Anolis sagrei: one gene and its partners. The protein of the gene in region 3 interacts with the protein of the main gene of each other region in a pairwise test. Links are inferred from orthologs where the notes say so. Each region holds a gene or a part of one and is shown on either strand. Other genes may lie near its edges.

Region 1 (7,783 bases), on a different chromosome or scaffold from region 3:
CCTGACTGGCAACCATTACCCAGAGGATCTTTTCATCAGCTACCCCAAGACTGTGGAATGACCTGCCGGAAGAGCTCCAACAGCTAAATCAGCCATAAGAATTCAAAACTCAACTGAAGATCTATCTCTTCTGGTAGATCTACCTAATCAATTTAAACTATGAATTTTAAGGTCATGTCTTGTATCTGTTATATTTTAATCTTTGTTATATGTATTTTAATATGCAGATATTGTATATTTTAATATATGTATTGTTATGATGTGTTTTAACTATACTGTGCCCTGCCTTGAGCTGTAAGGAGAGGTGGGCAACAAATAATAATTATATTCATAACTATAAATTAATATTAATTAATACTCACTGTGAATGGTAATTCTAGTGAGGCTGTGCACATAGTTAATCCCTCAAGACAGGATCTTTAGAATTCTGAAATGTTATTTCTATTGTGCCCTATTCCCCCTCTTCTGTTTTGTTATATAGCCTTGCAGACTCCTTATGTAGCTCAGAGAAGATTGCACTTCCTGTATATTTTCAGACAATAACAGCAAATGCTAAGAGCTTACAGATTACAAAGAATTGTGGGATTTAAAAAATATGCATGCTTTCAGCTAACCGTTTATGCATACTTACATATATGGCCCTGGGAGTCCTCCAAGAGCATTAAAACACAAGCAAGTATCTTCTACTATAACTGGTCCCTGAATCTGTAAAAAGATAATACAGTGAAGAAGATATCAGAACTGTAAATTGGATCCACGAATAAAGAACAAGACTACTACTAGTTATGAACTATAGCAAGCTAAAATAAACACTCACCAAGGACTGAGAAAAAACACAAATCCCACTTTATTTGTCAACATCACATGGCCAGACATGAAATTAAAATTAAACCAAAAGATTAATGGTGCCTTAGATATTTATCTGAAATATTGTGTCCCACTCTTAAGCAACTAAAGGCCTACAAAATAATTATTTCTATCATGTAGATTGCATGCAATAGTCACATGTATTTTTTGTCACTCCTGATTATTTAGGTTTTTTTTAACCACAGATCATTTCTATTACATCCTTGCTCAATAAGTACAGAATTTAACGTTAAGAGAGTCAATAACGCCTGTAACAATAATGATAACTTGCAGCTCTCAGCTGAATATGTATCTTATTTTATACATTATGATGAGGTAGTACAACTCTCAAAAGGCTTAAGGATAGCAGTGTATTTTTTAAAGGAAAGGAGATTTTTAATGGCTGTTGGATTTGGGATTCCTACTATTGCTAAGGAATGTCAAAGTTCAGAGAGAAGGACCTGTTTAGCTGCTTCTTGGCACTTCTGGATAGAAATGTCATCAGGCTCCCCTTGGTACTCAGGCACTAGAAAAGGAAAAGTCATGGTTACCACAGAGTAAGAGCTATACAGAATGTAACAAAATAAGGTAGAGACTCACAGTCTATTTTTTTTGCAACCAGTTTGCCGGGAAAGGAATCACCTAGGATCTGAATCACCTGCAAGATAAAGGACCAAATAATCAGTTGGTTTCCACCAGCTTCATGGTCACATCCCCCCTGCAAAGAACAACATCACCTTGTGCCTTTCAAATCTCTGGCAGTAACATTTAACTCTAATGTAGGGGTCCTCAAACTAAGGCCTGAGGGCTGGATACGGCCCTCCAAGGTCATTTACCCGGCCCTCACTCAGGCTCAACCCAAGTCTGAAACTACTTGAAAGCACACAACAACAACAACAACCCTATCTCAACCAAAAGCAGGCCCACACTTCCCATTTAAATACTAATAAATTTATATTTGTTAAAATTGTTCTTCATTTTAATTATTGTATTGCTTTTAAGTGGTTTTTGCATTACAAATAAGATATGTGCAGTGTGCATAGGAATTAATCCATGTTTTTTTCAAATTATAATCCGGCCCTCCAACAGTTTGAGGGACAGTGACCTGGCCCTCTGTTTAAATGTTTGAGGACCCCGATCTAGTACAATGTTTCTAAGGATGAAAAAAAAAGTTTCCCGTAACACTATGTAACAAAATTTGAAAAAAATGTGTATATTCCTGACTTGAAAGTGTTATTTCCTGTTTAATTGTAAAGTGCTTACTTTGGAAGTGGTTGTTATACTCCGTATGGCTGCCACAAACTATGTTGAGTTGGTTGAAACTCTTAGGGAGATATTTATTGAAAAACTATGACGAAATGTGTTGAAGGATGTCCCGCTAAAACAAAACTTTTATATATTGTCGAAGGCTTTCATGGCTGGAATCACTAGGTTCTTGTGGGTTTTTTCGGGCTATAGAGCCATGTTCTAGAGGCATTTCTCCTGACGTTTCACCTGCATCTATGGCAAGCATCCTCAGAGGTAGCAAGCATCCTCAAGCATCCTCTACCTCTGAGGATGCTTGCCATAGATGCAGGCGAAACGTCAGGAGAAATGCCTCTAGAACATGGCTCTATAGCCCGAAAAAACCCACAAGAACCTAGTAAAACTTTTATAGTTGGATAAACTTTTTCCATGTTTTTATAATAAAACCAATGAGGAAATGACATTTATAACCCAGGAACAAACAATTGTGTTGCACAGTATAATTTGTACTTTGTTGCCAGGTGTTTAAAGACAGTAGTAGACAGTGAACATTCATGATATGCAAGGTTGTGGAAGCTTGTGCTCTATCTAAACACCAAACTAGGTTGACTTAGGTTAGTTCTGTAAAATTAACATATTTTAACACAGACTACACAGAGATGCCATTGCAATCCACAAGCATGTGGACAATTTTCAACAAAAGGGAGGAAACCATGAAAATGAGTAAACTCTGGCTGCCAGTATTTAAAAAAAGAACAGAATCAAGACAGCAAATAAAGAATACTAATCAGCAATGGGAATTCCAGACAGACAACAATCAAGTGCCAGTTAACAACACTTCCCAAACAGAGGATGCCTCCAGGTAACAACAGACAGGCTTTGAAGCTGTAAGGCTACTCAATGCTAACCAAGCTTGCCAACTGCAACATTCACACTTGCTTCAACAGACAAGAGTTCTTTCTCCCAGCCTGGACACATTTATATACACTCCACTTGCCTCGTTTCCAAGAGACCTCACAAACTGTTGAAGATGCCTGTCAGGAGAGAATGCTACTAAGGCATTGCCATACTGCCTGAAAACCTCACAGCAACCTAGTGATTTTGGCCATGAACGCCTTCGACAATACATTAGATTTTTACTCACAACTAAAATATTGGGGGGGGGGGGGGGTGACCACTCATCTCACCTCATCCAGTCTATATATCAGAAAAAGCTTTCCAATCTATATAAATAAAAATGTAATGTTCGTTTGGGGGATTACCATAACTCAAAAACCACTGGATGAATTGCTGCCAAATTTGGCCACAAGACATCTACTAACCCAAGGCGTGACCATCACTCAAAAAAAATGATTTTGTCATTTGGGAGTTGTAGTTGCTGGGATTTATAGTTCACCTACAATCAAGGAACATTCTGAACCCTGCCAATGATGGAATTTAACCATACCTAGCACACAGGACTCCCATGACCAACAGAAAATACTGGAAGGGTTTGGTGGGCATTGACCTTGAGTTTGGGAGTTGTAGTTCACCTACATCCAGAGAGCACTGAGGACTCAAACAATGATGGATCTGGACCAATCACAACACAAATACTCAATATGCCCAAATGTGAACACTGGTGGAGTTCGGGGAAAATAGAATCTTGACATATGGGAGTTGTAGTTGCTGGGATTTGTAGTTCACCTATAATCACAAAGCATTCTGAGCCCCACCAACAATAGAATTGGGCCAAACCTCCCACGCAGAACCCCCATGACTACCAGTGGGCCACAGCAACACATGAAATTTAACCATACTTTGCACAAAGTTGTCCCATGACCAACAGAAAACACCAGAAGGGTTTAGTTGGCACTGACCTTGAGTTTGGGAGTTGTAGTTCACCTACATCCAGAGAGCACTGTGGACTCAAACAATGATGGATTTGGACCAAACTTGGCAGAAGCACTCAATATGCCCAAATATGAACACAGATGGAGTTTGGGGAAAATAGACCCTGACATTTGGGAGTTATAGTTACTGGGATTTATAGTTCACCTACAATCAAAGAGCATGCTGAACCCCACCAATGACACAACTGGGCCAAACTTCTCACAAAGAACCCCCACACTTAAGGCCATCCAGTCCAACTCCCTTCACCAGGGCGAGAAAACGTAATCAAAGCCCTCCTCACAAAGACCCATCCAGCCATAGATATAGATAGATATGATTCACACACAGAGAGATATAGTATCATAGATTTGAAAGGGACCCCTGAAGAAGGACAATGATATGTTACATGTTCCAAAGTAGGCAGAGCAGACACTCTCCACATCAACACTGGGAAAGAAACAGCAAGAAGTACTGCTTATCCACAAGCATGAAGACATTACATATATTAGAAACCAACACTTTCTCGTTACTTTATTTTCCAGATCACCAGACTGGGCCACAGCAACGCCTGGCAGGGGCCGGCTAGTCCTTAAATAAATAGCGAGCAAGATTGCCAAGACTAAAATAATTCCTATCTTATCAAAGTGGATAAGGAGTGGAGAGAGAGGTGGGCCCTGCTTCTTCTCACCTCCTCCAGTTTCTTTGCGTTGCCGGTGACAAGCACCACTGTCCTCCCCGCAGACGCCATGACCGCCCATGCGCATGCGCGCGTAGCCGCAGTAGGCACGTGCCCCGCGCTTCGGCCCCGCTACCCGGAAGCACTCGGCCTCTTCCCTCAGTTGGAACTGGGAAGTGAGCATGGCGGAGCTCCGGCTGTTGCCGCGCCGCGCGAAGGACTTTGCCTCGGCCGACTTCTGGGAGCGCTTCTTCCGGGAGCGCGGCGGGAGGGCCTTCGAGTGGTACGGGGCCTGGAAAAGCCTCCGGGCGCCGCTGGGACGGTACTTGCGCCCTCAGGACTCGGTGAGAGCGGCTATAGCAGGCCATAGCGGGCATGGGCACACTTGGACCCACCAGGTGTTTTGGATTCCAATTCCCAACAGCCTCAGGCCCCTTCCTTTCCCCCCTCAGTCGCTTAAGCGGCTGAGGGGGGAAAGGAAGGGGCCTGAGGCTGTTAGGAATGGTGGGAGTTGGAGTCCAAAACGCCTGGAGGGCCCAAGTTTTCTATGCCTTAGCAATAGGAACAGTAGAGGAAATATTGTCGAAGGCTTTCATGGCTGGAATCACTAGGTTCTTGTGGGTTTTTTCGGGCTATAGGGCCATGTTCTAGAGGCATTTCTCCTGACGTTTCGCCTGCATCTATGGCAAGCATAGATGCAGAGGTTGTGAGGTCTGTTGGAAATAGGACAATGGGTTTATATATCTGTGGAATGGCTGGGATGGGGCAAAGAGCTCTTCTCTGCTAGAGCTAGGTGTGAATGTTTCAACTGACCACCTTCATTAGCATTTGAAGGCCTGCCTGAGCCTGGGAAAATCTTTTGTTGAGAGGTGTTAAGATGTGCCTGATTGTTTCCTCTCTGCTGTTTTGCTGGTAGCCAGATTTTGTTCATTTTCATGGTCTCAATTTCAACAGAAAGGAAGAGACCATGAAAATGAACAAAATCTGGCTACCAGTATTAAAAAACTCTAAAATTACAACAGCACAACAGCAGAGAGGAAACAACATTAGTTGGAATGTAAATTTGAATTATAATTGTATTGCTGTGCTTTCCCCAAATTCTGGTTAATATGATTCAGTTAGACTTTGCATTATACACTTTGAGCGTTTTTACTACACTTTGATTTGAGGTGATTAACTCACTCTGTTGGTGTCCAGCAAGCCAGCTCCTTATTTTAAAGGCTGGTTTAGGTGTTAGAATCCCCTTTGCCTAGAAACTTTGGGTCAGATAAAAATAAATAATACTTCACTGCGTACATGAGGGTTTGTGATTTGGAAGGATCAGACATTAATTTTTAGTTACAGAATATCTTTTCTTTATCTACGGTAGTTCTGATAAGTTTTATATTTGGTTTTCAGAAATGGTTTGGTAGAATGGCATGTTTTTTTTACATGGAGTAGTTTTCTGACTATTGTAATACACCATGTGTTTGACAGCTGAAGTTGGCATATAGGGACATTTAAACCTCATGTCTTTATTTATCTACATAACTCGACAATATCAAGCTTCATGGGAATACGAAACTAGAAATAAGAAACGAGCTTTGTCTCATATTGAGTGTGTTTTTACTTTTAAATAAGAAGAGTGTTATTGTATCAGTAAGAATACTCAATATTCTCCTAAGCTGCTTTGTGCTTGTAGCAGGCATTTTTTTTAAAAAAAAATCAGGAAACATGAAAATATCCTTCACCTTCACAGTTACATTTTTGATCCTGTGCAACTTTTGAAAAAATGTTTGTGAGAATATGGGATCGCAAAAGCAAAGCATATCAGTGGAGTTGGTTAGAAAGACCTTGGTGTGTTACGCACTAACTCTTGGGATCTCTGTAGCAGCTACATTTTTGTGTGTGTACTATATAAAGGAAAGCATCGGAAATGTGGAGGTGATATTCTGGTCAATATTTCTTTTCAAGCTTTTTGTCTGATTCTTCTGGAAATTGTTCTGTAAAGCAACCTTTTTGGTTTCCTCAAAATATTCTCTTTTCTTTCCCTCTAGATTCTTGTTGTAGGTTGTGGAAACTCAGAACTGAGCGAGGAACTCTATGATGAGGGTTATCAAGATATCACTAATGTGGACATAAGTGAATTGGTCATCAAACAGATGCAGGAACGCAGTGTTCATCTAAGACCCAAGATGACCTACATGGTTATGGATGTGCTGCAGATGGATTTCCCTGATGGGCACTTTCAAGTGGTGCTGGACAAAGGCACTCTTGATGCTCTGCTGACTGATGCAGAAGAAATCAGCCTGAGAAGGGCTGAAAGAATGTTTGCTGAAATTGGCCGGGTCCTGCGATTTGGGGGCCGTTATCTTTGTGTCTCCTTGGCACAAGCACATGTGTTGAAAGCAGCTGTGGAACATTTCTACCAGCAAGGATGGATGGTTCGAATACATCAAGTCTCCAGCAATGAAACAGACACTTCAGAAGGAGAGTTTGCCCTTCCTGTCTTTGTCTATATTATGACAAAGATAAAGCCTGTCCCAGGCTCAACTCTGTGCATCCTAGAGCTGTGTACTGAAGAACAGCACAAACCTGTCCGATTCAGCAGCACTCAGCATCTGATTGAGGCAGTAGAAGAGAGACAACAGTACTGTTTGTTACGGAGTCAGCTCAGAAGAAATCCCAATGCAGGGACCATCTGTCTTGATCTCTGCAGCAAAGATACTGATACCGGCCAAGTCCGCTATAGTTTACATGTTGTACACAACCCAACCGTGAAAGTGTCCTGTGACAATCAATTTGCCATCTTCATCAGTAAGTTTGTGTGCTCAGGAGCTTGCGTTAAATCCAAACAACCCAAGAAAACATCTTATAGCCTTTTGCCCCCATATACTGCTAATAATGACTAAGGGAATTGGGTATTTCAATTATACTAAAAACAGTTGGGTAGCAATGCTATTGGGTAGCAGTAGTGCAGTTAAGGCTATCTGTTCTAAGACTATATCTGTCTTTGGTAAATTTTCCAAGTACTGGGAAGCAAACTAGCTCTGATATGTCCATCCTTCAGCAGAGATATACATTTACTTTCTTTCTTCTAAATCAGTGATTCCCAACTAGTGGTCCGCAAGAACTAAAATATGGCCTCACTTACTACACAGTTTC
Region 2 (7,028 bases), on a different chromosome or scaffold from region 3:
ATGGCAGCGTGGATTCAGCCTGGAGGGGACGTGGTTTTAAAAAGGGAATTTTCAGATATTTCCCCAATGCCCATATGTCATGATTTACTGCCATATTGGCCTATTTCTGCAGTAGGCCTATGTTCACAGAAAATGGTGATTGCTTGAGAAATCAGTGCTCCAAAGAAGAAGTTACTATTCAAGAATAACAGTATATCCGGAGAAAACCAGCTAGCTGATGGCTAGTTAGAACCCCCAAATTTCCAAGTTGCTCTGGAGTCATGTTTGCAACAGACTAACAGATAAGATACAGTCATGGTCAGAGAACAATGGACTATAGTCATGTTATAGTTGTGCCATTGTTAGGATCCCACGTGTGTTATAATGTCAATAAAAATCATAAACAACTAATGAACAACTGTATAACTAACTTAGACCAATGAAATGATTTGTCTTTGGGAACCAATGAAAATGTATATTCCATTTACTATAACTGCTCTGCAGCCCCATTGGGGGTTGCGACAAACCCTTTGATTGCATCCCTGTATGCTTGTTTGTCGTTATTGCTATGGCCACGCAATAAATAGTTTTTGCAGTTTAAAAGGTTCAACTTTCGTGGTGTCCATCCTTGCCCTCCCTATTAGAAAGGGGGCTTCTGCCTTTTGGGGAAATATTCTGGTTTCGTTGCCCCTACAAGCCTAGGACACAAAGCAATGGATTTAAACTGTAGGGGAAAAGATGCCACCAAAACATTAGGTAGAACTTCCTGACTGCAAGAGCTGCTCGGCAGTGGACTGTGCTGCTTTGGAGTGTGATTGAGTCTTCTTCTCTAGAGGTTTTTAAAGAGAGGCAGGATGGCCATCTGTCAGGAGTGTTTCATAGTGTGTTCCTGCCTGGCAGGGGGTTGGACTGGATGGCACTTGTGGCCTCTCCCAACTCTAGGATGCTATGAAATAAAGTATAAATGACAACTATAAGCGTTACAACCAGTTTGTTCTCCAGAAACCTTAAACTCAAGCCGTGTTCGCCATTTTGTATCCTCATCACAACAACCCTGTGAGGTAGGCCGAGGCGGGGCCCAAACAAAGCGAAGCCTTGCCACAGGCACTCTCTGCCCTGCCATTACCCGGCTTTCTGAGGGAGGGGGTCCGCCACTTTTCCCCGGCCCTCCGGTGCCCGAGAAGCCCCCAGGAGACGAAGAGGAGGCAAAGCCGCCGGGCAACGGGGCCAGCGCCACGCAACTTCGGAAGCTTTTGAGGAAAACGCGATTCCCTCCCACCTTGGAAGCCGCCATGATGGTTTGTGACAGCTCACGCATGCGCAAAGGATAGGAAGAGGAGGAGCGTCGGGCTGAAGCTGCTGACGCATGCGTAAAGGAAAGGAGGGCTTGGAGAGCCGCTTTCTCGGCAGCTGACGCATGTGCAAAGGAAATGGTGTTGCTAGTGGGGGGGGGGGGGGGCGAGGTCCTCGGCAACTCACGCATGCGCAGTGAAAAAAAGGGATGTTTATCAGAAGTCCTGTGTCTGGTTGTGATCCCCAGGTTGTGCCAGTCAGCTTTCGTATGATGTTGTTTCTAGTGCCCACTTTTTGCTTGATGTTCAGGCAGTGCTTCTTGTAGGTCAGAGCATGGTCCAAAGCGACTCCCAGGTATTTGGGTGTGCTGCAATGCTCCAGTGGGATTCCTTCCCAGGTAATCTTCAGAGCTTCTTAAGGTGAAAGGCGCATGTCTGTGTTTTAGATGGATTAGGGATCAGTTGGTTTTCCCTGTAATAGGCAGTAAGAGCACCTAGAGCTTTGGTGAGCTTCTTTTCAACCATCTCAAAGCTCCCTGCTTGAGTGGTAATGGCATGATCATCAGCATAGATTTATTTATTTATTTACCTTACTTATATACTGCTGTTCTCAGCCCGAAGGCGACTCACAGCGGTTCACAACAAATACGAACAGCAAAAATTCAGTGCTACAGTATAGAAACAGTTAACAACCTAACACATTACACAATTAATAAACAGTTACTACAATACCCATTCACTGTCGTCTTGTCATCAAAAACATGTTCCGGATTCGTCATCCATTGTTCCATTCCAGTGTTCATTAACCAATCATTGCACTAATTATTCGAACGCCTGCTCAAACAGCCAGGTCTTCACCTTTTTGCGGAATACCATTAGAGATGGTGCTAGTCTAATATCCGCAGGAAGGGCGTTCCACAGCCGAGGAGCCACCACCGAGAAGGCCCTATCTCTCGTCCCCACCAGCCGAGCTTGAGAAGCAGGCGGGATCGAGAGCAGGGTCTCCCCGGAAGATCTCAAAGTCCTGGTAGGTTCATAGGCAGAGATGCGATCAGATAGGTAGCTTGGGCCGGAACCGTTTAGGGGTTTAAAGGCCAACGCCAGCACTTTGAATTCAGCCCGGTAGCAGATCGGTAGCCAGTGGAGTTGGCGCAACAGGGGGGTTGTATGCTTCCAGCGCTCCGCTCCTGTTAAAATCATGGCTGCCGAGCGTTGGACTAGTTGGAGCTTCCGAGCTGTCTTCAAAGGCAACCCCACGTAGAGAGCGTTGCAGTAGTCTAAACGGGATGTAACCAGAAACTCTCTGTCCCTTCTGGCAGTGGCTGGTCATTTGTGTAGATGTTGAACATGGATGGAGCAAGCACGCTCCCCTGAAGCAGGCCGTTCTTCTTTCATACGAAAGCTGACTGGCACAACCTGGGGATCACAACCAGACACAGTGAAGACATCTACCCTTGCGCTATGCTACTCTGCTGCTGAGTACGCATGCCCAGTGTGGAACACATCTCACCACACTAAAACAGTAGATGTGGCTCTGAATGAGACATGCCGCATTATCACGGGGTGTCTGCGCCCTACACCACTGGAGAAATTACACTGCTTAGCCGGTATTGCACCACCTGACATCCGCCGGGAAGTAGCAGCCAATAGTGAAAGGACCAAGGCAGAGACATCTCCAGCTCATCCCGTTTGGGTATCAGCCAGCACGTCAATGACTTAAATCTAGAAATAGTTTTCTAAGATCTACAGAGACACTTGCTGGAACACCTCAGCAAGCGAGAGTCCAAAGTGGCAGGCTCAAACCCAGAACCTCAACCAATGGCTGATACCAAATGAGAGACCCCCCCTGGGCACACAGAGGACTGGGCGACTTGGAAGGCGCTGAACAGACTGCGTTCTGGCACCACGAGATGCAGAGCCAACCTTAAGAAATGGGGATACAAAGTGGAATCCATGACATGCGAGAGGAGGAAACCACTGACCACCTGCTGCAATGCAACCTGAGCCCTGCCACATGCACAATGGAGGACCTTCTTGCAGCAACACCAGAGGCACTCCCAAGTGGCCAGATACTGGTCAAAGGATATTTAAGCAACTACCAAACTGACAAGTTTTGTATTTTGTCTGTTTGTTTGCTTTGTTCTGTTAGAAATGTAATATAATGGACTGGTTGCTCTGACACGACAAATAAATAAATAGTACAGATATGCTGCATTCTCACAAGACACTGAATTAGAAGTCACCATAAGATTTATATCTGTGGTTCCCAATTTAACTAATTTTACACACACCAGCTGCTATATAAATATACTGCATTCCTTTTCTACACCAAGAAATCTAGACTATACTGGTCAAAGGACATTTAATCAACTACCAAACTCACAAATTGTGTATTTTGTCTGTTTGTTAGAAATGTAATATAATTTGACTGGTTGTCCTGACACGACAGATAAATAAATAGCCATTCACTCATGCGCAAAGACAAATCTGGCCTATCCCTGGAGTTGTTTGGCGATTTACGCGTGCGCAGAAACCAAAGAGTAATCCCTCGGCCATTCACGCATGCGTGAAGCAAAAAAAAAAGTAGACGAAGGGCCGTTAATAAGTCAACGCCGGTTTCTCGCAACTCGCGCATGCGCAGAGAAAAGTGGGCGGGCTCACGAGGCCGAACCCGATTTCCTTGGCAACAGGCTTTCAAAAAAGGATCCCCCAAACAAGCGAGGGCGGGTGTTGGTGTTGCTTTACGGCACTGTCGCGCGAGAGAAGGAGTGTTCGTCTCCTCCGCCTGGAAAGTGCCTGTCAGGGAAAGAGGGCGAGTGCGCATGCGTGTTGGGAGCCAGACTGCTTGGGTCGGGATAAAAGTAGAAGCAGGAGCCGGAGGAGGATCTCATCTCCCTGGGGCGCCGGAGGAGAGCCCTGGGATGGCGGCTGCGGTGGGAGGGGCTCTGAGGAGCCCGTCTGCCTGCTTTTGGGGCCCGTGCTGACAGGAGAGAGCGTGGGGACGGCGGGGAAGGTAAGAGGGAAAGCCCCGGCTGACGTACTTTGTGAGAACTGCATGCATTTGAAGGGGATTTAGTCTCACAGTGTTTTCTGTTGGTCATGGGAGTTCTGTGTGGCAAGTCTGGCCCAATTCTGTCGTTTGTGGGACTCCAAATGCTCTGATTGTGGGTGAACTATAAATCCCAGCAAACTACAACTCCCAAATGTCAAGCTCTATTTTTCCCAAACTCCACCAGTCTTCACATTTGGGCGTGCTGAGTATCCATGCCAAGTTTGGTCCAGATCCATCATTGTTTGACTCCACAGTGCTCTCTGGATGTAGGGGAACTACAACTCCAAAACTCAAGGACAATGTCCACCAAACCCTTCCAGTATTTTCTGTTGGTCATGGGAGTTCCGTGTGGGAAGTTTGGCCCAATTCTGTCGTTTGTGGGACTCCGAATGCTCTGATTTTGGGTGAACTATAAATCCCAGAAAACTACAACTCCCAAATGTCAAGGTCTGATTTCCCCAAACTCCACCAGTGTATACATTTGAGTATACATGCCAAGTTTGGTCCAGATCCACCATTGTTTGAGTCCACAGTGCTCTCTGGATGTAGGTGAACTACAACTCCAAAAGTCAAGGTCAATGTCCACCAAACCCTTCCAGTATTTTCTGTTTGGGAGTTCTGTGTGCCAAGTTTGGTTCAATTCCATCATTGGTGGAGTTCAGAATGCTCTTTGATTATAGGTGAACTATAAATCCTAGCCCCAGTGGCGCAGTGGGTTAAACCACTGAGCTGCTAAGCTTGTTGACCGAAAGGTAGCAGGTTCGAATCCAGGGAGCGGCGTGAGTTTCCGCTGTCAGCCCTAGCTTCTGCCAACCTAGAACTTTGAAAACATGCAAATGTGAGTAGATCAATAGGCACTGCTCCAGCGGGAAGGTAACGGTGCTACATGCAGTCATGCTGGCCACATGACCTAGGAGGTGTCTATGGACAACGCCGGCTCTTCGGCTTAGAAATGGAGCTGAGCACCACCACCCCAGAGTCAGACATGACTGGACTTAATGTCAGGGGACAACCTTTACTTTACTTATAAATCCTAGCAACTACAACTCCCAATTGGCAAAATCTATTTTCCCCAAACTCCACCAGTGTTCACATTTGGGCATATTGAGTATTTGTGCCAGAGTTTGGTCCAGATCCATCATTGTTTGAGTCCACAGTAGGTGAACTACAACTCCAAAACTCAAGGTCAATGCCCACGAAACCCTTCCAGTATTTTCTGTTTGGGAGTTCTGTGTGTCAAGTTTGGTTCAATTCCATCATTTGTGGAGTTCAGAATGCTATTTGATTGTAGGTGAACTATAAATCCCAGCAACTACAACTCCCAAATGACGAAATCAAACCCCCCCCAACCCCACCAGTATTCAGATTTGGGCATATCAGGTATTTGTGCCAAATTTGGTCTGGAGAAGGAAAATACATCCCGCATATCAGATATTTACATTACGATTCATAACAGTAGCAAAATTACAGTTACGAAGTAGCAATGAAAATAATTTTATGGTTGGTGGGGTCACCACAACATGAGGAACTATATTAAGGGGTCACGGTATCACGAAGGTTGAGAACCACTGGTATAAAGGGAAATGAGGGGTTTGCCTCATTTAATGGAAAATAAAGGGGGGGGTTCATCTATAAGTAAGTGTAAAGGGAAATAAAGAGGGGCTGCATCTACTCCTGCACTAGGAAGGAAAATAAGGGGTGGTCATCTAGTATGAAGGGAAATAAAGTGTTAATCTATTAGTGTAAAGGGAAATAAAAAGGGGGTTCATCTAATATAAAGGAAAATAAAGAAAGGGTTGTTGTCGAAGACTTTCATGGCCGGGATCAATGGGTTGCTGTGAATTTTCCAGGCTGTTGGGCCATGCTCCAGAAGCATTCTCTCCTGACGTTTTGCCCACATCTATGGCATGCATCCTCAGAGGTTGAAGAATCTGTTGGAAGCTAGGCAAATGAAGTTTATATATCTGTGGAATGTCCAGGGCGGGAGAAAAAACTCTTGCCTGCTTGAGGCAGGTGTGAATGCTGCAATTGTCACCTTGATTAATGGTCTTGCAGCTTCAAAGCTTGGCTGATTGCTTCCAGAGGGGGGATCCTTTGTTGGGAGGTGTTAGCTGGCCCTGATTGTTTCCTGTCTGGAATTCCCCTGCTTTTTGAATGTTGGTTCTTTATTTACTAAAATCTAAAATCAGGACAGTAAATTTTTTATTTATTTATTTGTCGTGTCAGGGCAACCAGTCAATTATATTACATTATTACATTACATTATTACATTATTATTATTATTATTATTATTATTATTATTATTACAGTAAATAAAGACCAGCACTCAATGCTCAAAAAGCATATATTTGTATAAAGGGAGTGCACCTATTAGTATTATTTATTTTTATTTATAAAGTATTTCTACCCCGTCTCTTCTCTACTCAGGACGGCTTACAAAGTGTTCATCTATTAGTATAAAGGGGCTGCATTTATTAGTATAAAGGGGGTGCATGCATTAGTATAAAGGGGTCCATCTGTTAGTATAAAGTGTTAATCTATTAGTATAAAGGGGGAGGGGCATCCATTAGCATAAAGAGGGTTCAACTATCAGTATAAAGGGTGCATCCATTAGTATAAAGGAAGCATTATATTGTCGAAGGCTTTCATGGCCGGAATCACTGGGTTGTTGTAGGTTTTGTAGGTACCTCTGAGGATGCTTGCCA
Region 3 (7,213 bases):
CTCCTAGAAAGCTCACCCATAATGAGTTATGGGAAGGAATTCTGGGAAATGAAGTCCAGTATTCAAAGAAAGGACAAAAACAGGGAAGGCACGCACTGTGAATTAGGAAAGGCTGTCCAGGAAGACACAATCAAAACACTCCCAAAAGATGGCCATCCATTTTTACTTTATAGCAACCCTGGGCTATAATATCTACAATAATAATGTCTATATATCTATCATAATATTATCTATACGTCTATAATAATATATATATGTCTATGGTATCTATATGTCTGTAACAATAATATCTACAAGTCTATAACAATATCTGTACGTCTGTAATAATAATGTCTATATGCCCATAATAATATCTGTAGGTCTATAATAACATCCATATGTCTATAATATTATCTATCTGTCAATAATATCTATACATCTATAATAATAATACCTGTCTGCCTATATCCGTGACTATAATAATAATAATAATATCTATATAGGTATAATATAGGTATATGTATACATCTATAATAATAGCTATATAATATCTATAATAATAGTAATATCTATATGCCTATAATAATATCTATCGGTCTGTAATAATATCCATACATCTGTTGCCCATTTTTGCTCAAAAAATATTTAGCCCTGTGCTCCTTCTATTTTTTACTAGTTTTCTACTAATTTATGCAATGCTTTTGATATGAAATAAATAAATAAATAACATCTATAATAATAATACCTATATGCCTCATAACGCGTGGCTGGGTACAGCTAGTCAGACTATAAAACTGTATTTCAACTTTTTTTCTAGACTGGATTAAACCACATAGGTTTTTGATGTATTTGCATACCGCCTCTGCAGCCCTTAGGGAAGAGCAATGTCAGTACATGCCACGCAGCAGGTGCAAGAGGTGGTAAACTCATGTATTTTTTCACCAGGTGCACTTATTTAATTGTTGCTTGGGAAAATATATTGAAACTATGGTTGACCAAAATGCTTACACCCTAACCCTTAAAGCAAGATGAGGGAGCTACGCACACTGATTCAGACAAATTTCTACAGTAAAAGAGGGTGCTGCTCAGCTGTACACATAAATAAAAATGTTATGGATCTGTTTCATTTCTTTTGATGGCAACACATGCAAGGCAACCTCTAAATATGAATAGCAAGTAGATGCTGAAGAAGCATAGCAGATATTGTCATGATCTGTGGGGGAGGGGAAAGCTGATGGATATGTCAAAAACGTAAAAAAATGTTATTCTCTTCCCATAACATATACTGTTGAAGGTGTTTCTTCAACAGTATATTTTCCACTGGACAATGCCTAGTCATTTGAAAAATCATGTTATCATCTTTTTTCTCTTTAAAAATGAGCCTATATCGAAGCCAGCAAGGTTCCTCATTACTCAATTGTCCAATGCTTTCACTCTATCTGTAAGGTGTTTTGTGGGATTTTTTTTTTAAAAAAGTCAGGGCATAAATGTGTAAACAAAGATTTTTTTTTTGGTCGTGTCAGGAGCGACTTGAGAAACTGCAAGTCGCTTCTGCTGTGAGAGAATTGGCCGTCTGCAAGGACGTTGCCCAGGGGACGCCCGGATGATTTGATGTTTTTATCATCCTTGTGGGAGGCTTCTCTCATGTCCCTGCATGAGGAGCTGGAGTTGATAGAGGGAGCTCATTCGCCTCTTCCCGGATTTGAACCTGCGACCTGTCGGTCTTCAGTCCTGCCAGCACAGGGGTTTAACCCACTGCGCCACCGGGGGCTCCTAACAAAGATTATTAATATTATTATATATATACTCTACTTTATATTTCCCAGAGGGGACTCAATATATTCATAAGCAAGCATCCTGTAAAACCAGGAACGGGGAACCTTACACTGAGATGCCAGACCTTCTCGTTCCAATTTTAGTATATGTGCTGCCGAAGCGAGCACGCCAGACCTTCTCCAGGAGATCTTTATGCAGTGGTTTCCTAGATTTTGCAATGGGTTGCCATTTCCAAATGTACTGGCTCTCACACACAAATGAGCCAAGAGTGCATTGTGTGCACAGTAGTGATGCATTCAGACACCATGTGAAATAAATGTCTCCCTACCTTGTTTCCATCCTATGGGATCCTTGTGTCTGTAGTCTAGTTTAGCCTGAAGCTAAACTCTTCGCTGGACAGCTCCATTTAACTCATCTGAACTACAAACCTAGATCTCTCTATTGCAGCAAATTCCAGAGAAATCCCAGTCATGGCAGTCAAAGTGGACTCAAACAGAGTTAGTGCTTCCCTAAGATGCCTCTAACAAGGAGATGCTCATGATAATGTTTTTATGGTTTTGTACAATTTTTATATTTTACACAAATGTTTTTCACAATATTTGATGAGACATCAAATGTTGCCAACTGTGAACCGCCCTGAGTCGGTAAATAAATAAATAAATCTAAACAGTGGCTTTAATGCAGTTTGACACCACAAGTGCCATGGCACAATGAGATGGAATTGTGGAAGCTGTAGTTTTGTTGTTGTTCATTCGTTCAGTTGTTTCCGACTCTTCGTGACTTCATGGACCAGTCTACGCCAGAGCTCCCTGTTGGTCTCCACCACCCCCAGTTCCTTCAAGGTCAATCCAGTCACTTCAAGGATACCATCCATCCATCTTGCCCTTGGTCGGCCCCTATTCCTTTTTCCTTCCATTTTCCCCAGCATCATACTCTTCATATTCATCATACCACAGTTCAAAAGCATCTATCTTCCTTCGCTCAGCCTTCCCTATGGTCCAGCTCTCACATCCGTAGATGACTATGGGGAATACCATTGCTTTAACTATGCAGATTTTGTTGCCAGTGTGATGTCTCTACTCTTCACTATTTTATCTTGAGCTTGTTTGGAGGGTCTAGCAGGGGAGTGCAGCTATCGTAAACCCGGGACTGAAGACTGGAGACCTCGGTACACTCCTTCTATACCTGGGACGTTGTCCTCTTCCACCGAGCGCACAGCGGTGAGGGAGGAAGGGGACACCCGCCTAGCCAGCCAGATCAGCCGAATCAACCCTGGCAATCAATGGGGTGACAGATGTCGCAGTCAGATCGCCCTCACATCCTCTTGCCCTGACACGACAAAAAACAAAGCAAAACACTATTTTATCTCACCAAACGACATCTCCAATGATTCTGCAGCACTGAGTCATGGGAGTTTAAAGTGGTATCAAGCTGCATCATTCCTACAGTGTAGATGCATGCCCAATAACTTGTTAGTGACAGAAATAACACTCGGCAGCCATGATACTAACAGGAGCGGAGCGCAGGGAGCATACAACTCCTCTGCTGCACCAGCTCCACTGGCTGCCGATTTGCTACCGTGCTCAATTCAAAGTGCTGGCGTTGGCCTATAAAGCCCTAAATGGTTCTGGCCCAAGCTACCTATCCGAACGTATCTCTGCCTATGAACCCACCAGGACTCTAAGATCTTCTGGGGAGGCCCTGCTCTCAATCCCGCCTGCATCACAAGCATGGCTGGCGGGGACGAGGGACAGGGCTTTCTCTGTGGTGGCCCCTCGGCTGTGGAACACCCTTCCCATGGACATTAGATCAGCTCCTACGTTAATCGTGTTTCGAAGAAAACTAAAAACCTGGCTGTTTGAACAGGCATTCGGATAAACAGTGCAATGAATACGATGAATATAGGAACGGAATTATAGACGACAAATTGGATCACGATTCTAGTTACGAGACGTTAATGTGTTGTTATTGATGTGTCATTACTTTGTATATTATGCTCTTAATGGTTTTTAAATTGTATATTGTTATGATTGTCTTTTTGCTCTTGTTGTGAACCGCGTTGAGTTGCCTATGGGCTGAGAAACTGCGGTATACAAAGTAAGTAAGTAAATAAATAAATAAATAAAAAGACACTTGCAACTCAGTCCTACACTTATATAGAAATAGAGAAATACAAATATGTTCACCGTCTCAAGCTTCGTTTTAAAACCGGCCTAAAATCAGAAGCAAGGAAGGGACAACTTGAAGTAAAGCACTAAGCCAGCGCTTTCGATCAGGGTAGTAAGCCACTGCGCATGCGCGCGCGCCTCTTGGCGGGCCCAGGCGCCCAAATGCAGCCCGTGCGTCAAAGCCCCGAGCGCCGCTCTCATTGGCCGGGCCGAGCAGAAGCGAGGCGCACCAAAACATCGCGGGGAGGGACCAATCGCCAAGCCTGGCGCCGAGTTCTCGAGAGAGTTCGCCTGAAGCTGGCACCGCCATGTTGGAGTAGGGAGAGGCCACATCCCGCTGATGTCGTCCTTTAGGGTTTACCAATGTTTATTATTTTTTCAGAGAAGGACGCTAAGGCCCCGCTGAGGCCCTAAGGGCAGGGCGGCGCGGCCTATCCTCCTGTTGGCCCATTCCTGCCGAAAACGGGAGCAAAGCGGTGGCGGCCGAGGATCCGTGGCGAACGGCAACGAGAGGATGGTGCAGTCCTGCTCTGCCTACCGTTGCCGGAATCGATACGACAAAGAGAAGCCTATCTCTTTCCACAAGTGAGTGGGAGGGGCGGGGGCAGGAGAGCTCGCAAGGAGAGAGAGAGAGCGAGCTGTCCTGCCTTGAAAGGGAGGCGGAGCCAGAGCGCATGCGTGGACGAGTGCGCGCGCACGCTCCTTAGAGAGGGAGGGGGGTGCCTCAAAAAAAGGTCTCTAAGCAAAGAAAGCAAGGCTGGGGTAGTCGCGCGCGCACGCACGCACGCGCACCCCCTCTTTTTTTTCTCTCCCTCGCGCGCGCAGGCTTTCAACAGAACCGTTGGGACTGAGGCTTGACTTTGAGGCCTTGGAACGCGCGCCCGTTTCAACCGTCGCCTGACTGACAGTGACGTCGGAGGGCTGTCATTTTGTTTTCAAACTGGTCAAACGGAATAGTCTCTTGGTCATGTTGCTTCAAAGCTCCATTTGTTTTAGATATTTGGCCAACTGTCAGAAATTCATGCAGGTGAAGTCCAAAACACCTGGAAAAATCAGGCATAATGGCAATCATGGACTCATTCCTTATCAGGATAAGCCCTAAAAAAGGTGAAGGGCAAAATATGTACATGTCGCATGTGTGATATATTGTGGGATGTTAGGGGATTTCATGGTGTAAAATGAAGGCACCATCCATGACATCGGTGGACTTGTTGGTAGTCATTCAAGTATTTATTTCATGTCAAAAGCATTGCATAAATTAGTATAAAACTGATAAAAATAGAAGGAACGCAAGCAGCTAAATATGTTTTGACCTTACTTACTTAGGCAATCCCTCATAGTCCGAGGATGATGGTCCTCCAAGGTTGGTGGGTCTGTAGGTGACTGTGGAGCCCGATTCTTGACATGCATCTTCTCCCGCAGTGAGGGCATTGGTGGAAGACTGTCCCGGTTGGGGTTGGCTTGACGCACCTTCCTCTTGGCACGTTTCTCTCTTTCACCCTCCATTCGTGCCTCTTCAAATTCTACAGCACTGCTGGTCACAGCTGACCTCCAGCTGGAGTGCTCAAGGGCCAGGGCTTCCCAGTTCTCGTTGTCTATGCCAAAGTTTTTAAGGTTGGCTTTTATTTATTTATTTATGTATTTACTGCGCTTATATACCGCAATTCTCAGCCCAAGGGCGACTCATTGCGGTGTACAACATGAAAAAACAAGTGCAAATTACAAAACATAGTGCAAAATAATCTACAATTCATCATTATCAGAAAAACATCTTATCAAAACATCAACATTACTACCAAATTTCTACTACATTCCGAATCGTCTCATCGTCAACCCACAATCCGATATCATTTCCGTTGTTCCATTCCTATGGTCAAATTACCAGTCATTGCACTTCTTGGTCAAATGCCTTCTTAAATAGCCAGGTCTTTAACTTCCTGTGGAATATCAACAGGGAGGGGGGTAGCCTGATGTCCACGGGAATGGTGTTCCACAGCCGAGGAGCCACCACCGAGAAGGCCCTATCTCTCGTCCCCGCCAGCCGTGCCTGTGACGCAGGCGGGATCGAGAGCAGGGCCTCCCCGGAAGATCTCAAAGCTTTGAGCCCATCTTTAAATCTCTTTTCCTGTCCACCAACATTTTGTTTTCCGTTTTTGAGTTCAGAGTAGAGCAACTGCTTTGGGAGACAGTGGTCTGGCATCCAGACAATGTGGCCAATCCAGCGGAGTTGATGGTGGAGGACCATTGCTTCATTGGTGGTGGTCTTTGCTTCTTCGAGCACACTGACATTTGTCCGCTTGTCTTCCCAAGAGATTTGTAGAATTTTTTGGAAGCAGCGCTGGTGGAATCATTCGAGGAGTTGCATGTGACATCTGTAGATAGCCCACGTGTCGCAGGTTTATAGCAGGGTTGGGAGGACAATAGCTTTATAAACAAGCACCTTGGTATCCTTATGGATATTCCATCCTCAAACACTCTCTGCTTCATTCAGAAAAATGCTGTATTCGCAGAGCTCAGGTGGTGGTGTATATAAGTGTCAATGTTGACTTTTGTGGTGGCTTTTGTGGTGACAATTTCCGCTGCCAAGGTAGCGGAAATGGTCAACATTTTCTAATATTACACCATTAAGCTGTATCTCTGGTATTGGAGAGGGATTGACTGGTGACTGCTGGAAGAGCACTTTGGTTTTCTCGATGTTTTGACCAAAAACGGGCAACACCAATGGCATTGTCTGTGTTGTTGTTGTTTATTCGTTCAGTCGGTTCTGACTCTTCGTGACCTCCTGGACCAGCCCACGCCAGAACTCCCTGTCAGCCGTCACCACCCTCAGTTCCTTCAGAGTCAAGTCAGACACTTCAAGGATGCCATCCATCCATCTTGCCCTTGGTCCACCCCTCTTCCTTTTTTCTTCCATTTTCCCCAGCATCATTGCTTTCTCTAAGTTTTCCTGTCTTCTCATGATGTGGCCAAAGTACTTCATCTTTGCCTCTAATATCCTGCCCTCCAAGGAGCAGTCGGGCTTTATTTCCTGGATTATGGACTTGTTGGATCTTCTCGCTGTCCAAGGCACTCTCAGAACTTTTCTCCAACACCACAGTTCAAAAGCATCTATCTTCCTTCACTCAGTTTTCCCTGTGGTCCAGCTCTCACATCCATAGGTTACTACAGGGAATACCATTGCTTTAACTATGCGGATCTTTGTTGCCAGTGTGATGTCTCTACTCTTCATTATTTTATCGAGATAGGTCATTGCTCTCCTCCCAAGAAGTAAGTGTCTTCTGATTTCCTGG
Region 4 (7,505 bases), on a different chromosome or scaffold from region 3:
AGGTGGTGTCTGCAGACAAAGCTGACTCTGGCTTAAAAATGGAGATGAGCACCACCCTCGAGAATCGGACACAACTAGACTTAATGTTGGGGAAAACCTTTACTTTATAAGTCTAGAAATTTTGGTCAAAAATCAACTCAAAAATCTCCCCTCAACTTATACATGTTGACTTATACATGGGTATATGTCCCTTTTAAAGCCACTCAAATATGTAGCCATCATTACATTTTGTGGTTGTTATGTACTTTTGCCTTTGAAAGAGATGGAAATTTACCTTCCTTTCTGTGTCCTGTTTAGTCTCATTGGATAATCATTGATTACACCGTTACGAAAAAGTAAGAAAATCTTTTGCAAACTTGGAAATAATTTGTGAAAACATAAAATAAAGCTGAGACTGCTACTGTTTCTCATTTCCCCAACTCACTGAAACATTAATCCAATTTGTGACAGTAGAGAAAACTGCACAAGCCTTAAATTGTATGCTTTTTTCAAACATACAAAAAATTTCATCTAACATTCTCTAAAAATATATACCAGGAAAAGCTCAGATACTTCACCTTTATGTTGCAAGCCACTGCTTTGCCATCTTCACCTTTGTACATTAGCTTCATCCCCCGCAAAGCATTCATAGCCTTGATAAAGCCTGCATATTCCTCATATTGAACATAAGCTTCAAAATTCAAATGCCCTCCAAAACTGAATGTATGGAAGTTTCTTCCAGTCATTTCTTCCCTGTATGGATCCAACATGGGAATGTCCACATTACGAATTTCCCCAAATTTGTTAAACACTTTAATAAGAACTTCTTCATTTGGTTTTTCTGAGCCAGAGTCTTTCAGTGCAAACCATTTACAAGGCAAACCCTCCAAATGAATAGTGTCTGGTCTTTCCCCTGGCAGAGTTTCATTCATATCTTTTGCATCACGAAAAAAGGAATCCCAGTCATGTCGAGTAGGAAAATCAATTTTGTATTCTGCAGCACGAACTTTGAGAATGTCCGAAAAACCACTTAGTTTTATAGTTTTGCCATCTAGACATGTAAGGAAGGATTTAACCAGACCCTTATTTTCCACTTCTCCTTCAAAACGAATGAAATCCATGGTGCTTTTGGAAATTCGTAAAGTTGAGAATTGATGTGTTTGCACCATTCCTTTCAGCCTTTCCATCACTTCCCAATTGGAAATAGACTTTCCTGGTTGCTTTAACTGTGGAAGTGCCACACTGATCGTCATTTTTGTAATGGGCTTGAGGAATAGTCCATATGGAGCACAGAGCTCCACAGCTTCGGAAGTATCATGAACTATTGTAGCAGCTGCCATGGTTAAAAAGTTATGATTCTAGCAAGAATAGGCTTATCTATTTTGTAGACATGGATAGAAAACTGTTCCTCTATTTGAATAAATTACCATTTTAACTACATCTCAAAATCAGCTTTCAAAGACTGATTGTAAGTTCTCTGTCTTTTAGGGCATGTGAAATGTTATCATTATATGTGAATCCATTAAATAGGATTCCATTTTTAACTGTGCTGTTCTAGTGTTCTCTAATTGAAAGCAATATAAATTATCTTTGCAGAGTAACTGTAAAAGTATACAAGGAATAATAAGAATGTAATTTGCAAAAAGGAGCCTCAAAAAGTAGTCTTCTTGGAGCACACTGCTTCGACGCAATTCTATGAATTATCACAATCTTGCGAGAATTTCATCATTCATAAAAGCTGGGAAAATATTCTGTGGAAAATTGAAATAGATGAGTTAGTGTCTTGTTTATTAGATAAAAAAAGTATTTCTAAACATCATTGCCAATAAACATGGTTGCTCAAATTAACTGAAATAATTTATGAAATAAGCATCTTAACAACCCTTTTATTTAGTCACAGTATGTTAGGTGAAGACAAACGGGTAACAACTTTAGAATCCTGAGTGTAACAGAATGCAGAATTACAGCCTCAGCAAAACAAACTTACAAATTACACAAGTGTGTTAAAAAGGAATCTCATAAATATCATAGTTAAAGAACTTTATATCTGATACAGGATATCAAGGCAGAAAATCCCACATTATCTGCATGTGGACTCAGATAACCCAGTTCAAAGCAGATATTGTGAGATTTTCCACCTTGATATCCAAGGATATAGGGCTGTGTGGAAGGCCCTGAGATAACCTAGTTCAAAGCAGATGTTGTGGGATTTTCTGCCTTGATATTCTGGGGGCCCTTCCACACAGCCCTACATCCCAGAATATCAAGGCAGAAAATTCCACATTATCTCCTTTGAACTGTGTTATCTGAGTCCACACTCTGCCTTGATATTCTGGGATATCGGACTGTGTAGAAGGGCTCTCAGTCCACACTGCCATATATTCCAGTTCAAAGCAGATAATGTGGGATTTTATTCAGGTGTGTGGAAGGGGCCTCAGATTCTGTATGGAAGGGCCCTGGGCATAGATAGGGAGAGGAAACTGTAGTTGCAAAACGGGGCACGGACCATGTTAATTAGCCACAGATTAGCCATTAACATAAAATACAAACGTGTCAGCGAGAGCAGGGCTTACTCTATTTGTGAACATCCCAACTCTAGCCAGCCAGGGGCATCGAGTGGGCCTCCCAAGACAAAATGCTCCAGAAGATGGTCTATTTATAAAGCGCCCAAATCTTGCCCAATTCCTCCTTCTTCACAAACCCAACCACAAAAGGCCAAGGAGATACGCTCCCTCTCCCCTGAAAGCACCTCCTCTTATCCAGAAAGGCTGCAGAGACAAACCTAGCTCATGCCCAGTTGACACCAAGGCCTCTCCTCTCCACGCACGACCATACGCACCCTTCGGCCTCGTTCTGAACCGCGACGGGAGGGGCCTCCACGGCCATCTCGCGCCTCTCCTCCTCGCTCCCTCGCTCGCTCCCTCCCTCGCGGGCTGCCCCAGGCGCAAGGCGACGCCGGCCTTCCCACAAGGCCCAGCGCCACCAAAACAAAAAAACTTCCGCTTCCCTCAAGACAACCAGGAACCTCAGTAAGCGAAGTAGCGAGCAGGAGGACCGGAAGTAGAGAGGCCGGGAAGTGCATAGAGCTAGCAAAGATAGAGCGGCAGACACTCTCTTACGGAGATTAGAGCGTTTCCTGTTGTCAGGGATCAGATGGCGGGCATGACTTGGGGGCGCATGCGCACTGAATACAAATTCATACGAAGTCTGAGGCCCTTTCTAGACAGCTGAATAGAATCCCTCATATGGACTCTGGGCCATTCCACGCAGCCATATAACCCAGAATATCAAGGCAGGAAATCTCTCAATATCTGCTTTGAACTGGAATATATGGCAGTGTGGACTCAGATAACGCAGTTCAAAGCAAATACTGAGGAAATTGGGTTGTTGTAGGTTTTTTCGAGCTATATGGCCATGTTCTAGAGGCATTTTCTCCTGACGTTTCGCCTGCATTTATGGCGAGCATCCTCAGAAGTGGTGAGGTCTGTTGGAACTAGGAAAGGGGGTTATATATCTGTGGAATGACCAGGGTGGGACAAAGTACCCTTGTCTGCTGGAGCTAGGTGCGAATGTTTCAACTGACCACCTTGATTAGCATTTGATGGCCTGTTCTTGGTGTGGCTTGTTAGTGCATTATGGTGGTCAGCTGAAATCCGTGAAATTTTTAAAATTCTAAAATTGCAACAGCAAAAACAGCAGAGAGAAAAACAGGCAGGGACATCTAGTCACCTTTCAAGAAGAGTTTGCTCCAGGCACTGTCAGCCCATTGTATGCTAATCAAGGTGGTCAGTGGAAAGATTCACACCTAGCCCAACTTACAAAAGCCCTTTGTCTTACCCTAGTCATTCCACAGATATATAAACCCCTTTTTCCCCAGCTCCTGCAGACCTCACCTCTGAGGATGCTTGCCATAGATGCAGGCGAAACGTCAGGAGAAATGCCTCTAGAACATGGCCATATAGCCCGAAAAAAACCCACAAGAACTGAGTATTATTGGAATGTTGTCCGGTCACATCCAAGACCCCTGCCTGTAATTTCCTTAATACCCTTACAATGTACTGGGAGAAGTGGAGGGGAGGGAATAATTCAATGGCTGTATTTAAGATTGTTTTCTGCTTACTTTTAATTTTTTTTATTAAAACAGATTAAAACAAAACCTACATAGACCCCCCCCAAACCCCCCCCCCCAAAAACCCCATCAACAACATATTATAAATACTTTTTCTAGAACAATACTACTGCATCCTAAACATTTTAAAAAAGCAATAACTACAAACAATTTAATCTAAGGGCTTTACATTTTGTCTGATGGTTATATTCCGTCCATTTTCTACACCCATTTAGTGAAAAGGAACCATTGGTACATCCTTTCTCATAGAATAACACACTTCTAGTCCAAAAAACCTGTGATGTAGATTTGGCCCCATCTTTATTGGAGGAACACAATAAATGGGCCCCAGTCTTTCTTAATGTTAGTTAGAGATTTCTCCTTAATCAACGTAGTGTGTTTCCTGCTTCTGTTGATAAGATTGAGACTATCTGAGAGAAAGATCTGGCAACCATGCCCCTAGCCAATTTCACCTACTGAAATGGACATCATCCCCAAATATCTATTATGTACATTGGACTGACCCTATTATGTGCACTGGAGCAAGACTATTAAGCCCAACAAGGACTCTTTGCAATTTGCCACACCACATTCCTTTTGATCGTGCCCCTCTCGGAGGTGGATCATTAAGCAGACTGATACTTTAAATGTTCCAATGATAGTTTACTGAATTTCTTGCCATCAACACGCGCTAAACAGCACTGACCTTGGACAGAGTCCTGAGCTATTTAGGACAAGGTTCCTAGCCAGATTGTTTCCCAACCAATCAGGAGCTGGTATGAATTTCTTTGATGTTGCTTGATCAGGTTCCTTTTTTATCTGTGAAAGTTGGAAAGTATGCTCTAGGAGATTTTCTGCCAATATAGTTTACTTGGAGTAACAACTGCTAGCCAAAAAAACCTTACTTCTAAGGAAACATGCATTGGACTATGTTCTGTCACGCGCTGGGCCTGTAACAATTGTCTTTTCTATAGGATGTATACTTTAAGCCCAGTAGGAAGCCGGGGTGCTCCAAAGAAAGGGTATCAGGGTTTTTTTCCTGAAGTGATGGTCTTTAGAGACTTTCAAGATATAACAAAGTCTTTATTAAGGAACAAACAACAAATCTTCAATGGTTCAAACAACACTTCAAGGCTTTCTTAGTCTAGTCCTCAAGGAACTGGTACCTGACTTTGATTAACTGTACTTTCTCTATAAGAAAAAAAACCCTGTTTAACCTCTCCCAGGCTATCTATTATCTATGTCTCGTTGGTGTGGGTACTACTACCAATTCCAAATGCGTCTGGGCTTCGAGTAGACCTACCAGCCGAGGCTTGTAGATATTAAAGCTGGAATTCCGTGGATCTGTAATGCTGTCCTTTCTCCGAGAATTCTTTGAAACTTCAGGGCTGTTTTCCCTCTGATGCTGTGAGGCTGAGAGGCTGTGAGCTCTCAGCCAGAGCCTTGGGACCTTTCTCCTGGAATTTCTGTTTCCCCGGATGTTCTTGAGAAAGGATGCTTTTCTACGGGACGAGCAGGTCTACGTCCTATAGTTTAGCTTCCTTGTGTGAGACTGCCCAAAAAATGGCTCCTTTCCCTCCCAGAGTCCTGAACAGGGGGCAGAACCAAAGCTTAATTATAATGGACAGGAGGCCTGTCCTATGACTGCAAAACGGATAACAGAAAGAAAATAAAGTTGGAGCTCCTGGTACAGCCATACCAGCACAGACTGTGTTGCTTATTATTAACCACCCTGTAGCATAATATGTGGAATTCCACTAGAGGAGGCTGTTGTCATAAGATAAACTTTGAATTATGTTGACTGGCAGAAACAGTATTTTCTTGGAACCTAAAAAAAGTTACATATACTTTACCTTAGCATAGGCCACCTAATCGATTGGTCTAAACAAGCCTTAGAAAAACTCAAAAGGGGAAAATTGATCTATCAGTGGTTATTAACCATGATGGCTCAGTGCAGAGATGGGGATCATATGGTCTTGCAAATATTTTTAAATTGCAACTCCTATCATCCCACACCATTAACTATACTGGCTAGGACCGCTAGGACATCCAGATCCACAATATTTTGAGGGCACCATGATTTCCACCTCTAGATAAGCCCTCCTCTATAGGCAATGGAGAATATTATTGTAGTTGCTGTTAATTTTTATTCTGCCTTTTTCACTGATCAGTGATAAGTGATCAGGGCGTTAAACCCCTGTGCCGGCAGGACTGAAGACCGACAAGTCACAGGTTCAAATCCGGAGAGAGCGCAGATAAGAGCCTTCTATCAGCTCTAGTTCCTGACACCAGGGCCGTAGCCAGAAAAAAATTTCGGGGAGGGTTGACAATTTCGGGGGGGGGGGCGTGTTGAAAATTTCGGGGAGGGTTGAAAATTTCGGCGGGGGGGGGGGTTGAAACCTGCCTCCTAGCTCACGCTGAAGCAAAGAGCACAGCAGGGGTAGAGCAACCTTCAATAGCCTGCAGCTCCGCCCCTGTCAACCACCTCCACCAAGTCTGGCCTCCTTAATGAGAGCATTCAACACACACACTCCCAACTTGGTTGCTTCACTACATCGGCTATTGCTACAAGTAATGACAGTGTGAATAAATTGTCAATATTTGCTTGAGATAGGGCTTGCAGTTCTGGAGGGACTCTTAATTTTTGCATCTCATAGACTTAGCATGGGGTTTTGGTTAATCAGTTAAAATTCATGAGTAAACCAGGGTTTTTTTAAAAAATCTGAAACATTTCGGGGAGGGTTTGAACCCCTAAAACCACCCCCTCGCTACAGGCCTGCCTGACACAACCAAAAAAACAAACAAACCCCTGATCAGAAGTTAAAGTGGCTTGTTGTTTTTACCTTCAAGTCATTTTTAACTTATAGTGACTCCCAGGCAGACATATAATGAGGTTTTCTGAGGCTGGGAGTGTGTGACTCACACAAGTTCACCAAGGGGGTTTCAATGGCCCAGCGGAGAATTAAGTTCTGCTCTCCAGAGTAGTAGTCCAATGCTTAAATCATTACACTATACAAGCTCTCAAAGCAGCTTACAATTTTTAAAGTATCACTAAATATCTATAAAATTCTAATGTTAAAATAAGATTAAATAACAAAAAAATATAATCAGATTAAAAACTTCATCATTAAACATACACATGTTGGCACAACAATTAGTCATATCCAACACATTGTGTAAGACCTTATATAGTCACACATCAAATGTCAGCCAGAACAGAAACATCTTTACTTGTCCGAGATAAGGAAGTAGGGAGACAATGTGATAGTTTCCCTCTTCATCCGATATTGCATAATTTGCTCTGATGAGGCATATGATAATCTTGTTATATCATATAGGCAATAAGATGTATGTACTATCCACATGGGATGCTCTGTCTGCAATCCTCCCCTAAAGCTAGATCCTGAAAATGTGACTT

The links.
Region 1: the proteins of THAP1 (region 3) and METTL13 interact in binary tests that used the Homo sapiens proteins (3 or more experiments, as listed by UniProt). The two-hybrid records come from large-scale screens. The link is inferred for Anolis sagrei from reciprocal best matches to the Homo sapiens genes THAP1 and METTL13.
Region 2: the proteins of THAP1 (region 3) and BAG5 interact in binary tests that used the Homo sapiens proteins (3 or more experiments, as listed by UniProt). The two-hybrid records come from large-scale screens. The link is inferred for Anolis sagrei from reciprocal best matches to the Homo sapiens genes THAP1 and BAG5.
Region 4: the proteins of THAP1 (region 3) and AKAP17A interact in binary tests that used the Homo sapiens proteins (3 or more experiments, as listed by UniProt). The two-hybrid records come from large-scale screens. The link is inferred for Anolis sagrei from reciprocal best matches to the Homo sapiens genes THAP1 and AKAP17A.

What each region holds. Positions count from the first base shown.
Region 1 is NC_090024.1:130,532,160-130,539,942, reverse strand, and holds the start of METTL13 (eEF1A lysine and N-terminal methyltransferase), read left to right. Parts: upstream 1-4,783; 5' UTR 4,784-4,821; coding exon 4,822-4,983; intron 4,984-6,675; coding exon 6,676-7,435; intron 7,436-7,783. Other genes in the region: ITPA (inosine triphosphate pyrophosphatase), read right to left, coding at 632-705, 1,308-1,372, 1,447-1,504, 4,652-4,711. UniProt on the Homo sapiens protein: Dual methyltransferase that catalyzes methylation of elongation factor 1-alpha (EEF1A1 and EEF1A2) at two different positions, and is therefore involved in the regulation of mRNA translation.
Region 2 is NC_090021.1:327,332,385-327,339,412, forward strand, and holds the start of BAG5 (BAG family molecular chaperone regulator 5), read left to right. Parts: upstream 1-4,009; 5' UTR 4,010-4,284; intron 4,285-7,028. Other genes in the region: COA8 (cytochrome c oxidase assembly factor 8), read right to left, coding at 1,106-1,273. UniProt on the Homo sapiens protein: Co-chaperone for HSP/HSP70 proteins. It functions as a nucleotide-exchange factor promoting the release of ADP from HSP70, thereby activating HSP70-mediated protein refolding.
Region 3 is NC_090022.1:156,694,215-156,701,427, reverse strand, and holds the start of THAP1 (THAP domain-containing protein 1), read left to right. Parts: upstream 1-4,198; 5' UTR 4,199-4,437; coding exon 4,438-4,508; intron 4,509-7,213. UniProt on the Homo sapiens protein: DNA-binding transcription regulator that regulates endothelial cell proliferation and G1/S cell-cycle progression.
Region 4 is NC_090023.1:98,414,697-98,422,201, forward strand, and holds the start of AKAP17A (A-kinase anchor protein 17A), read right to left. Parts: upstream 3,023-7,505; 5' UTR 2,762-3,022; intron 1,731-2,761; 5' UTR 1,320-1,730; coding exon 558-1,319; intron 1-557. UniProt on the Homo sapiens protein: Splice factor regulating alternative splice site selection for certain mRNA precursors. Mediates regulation of pre-mRNA splicing in a PKA-dependent manner.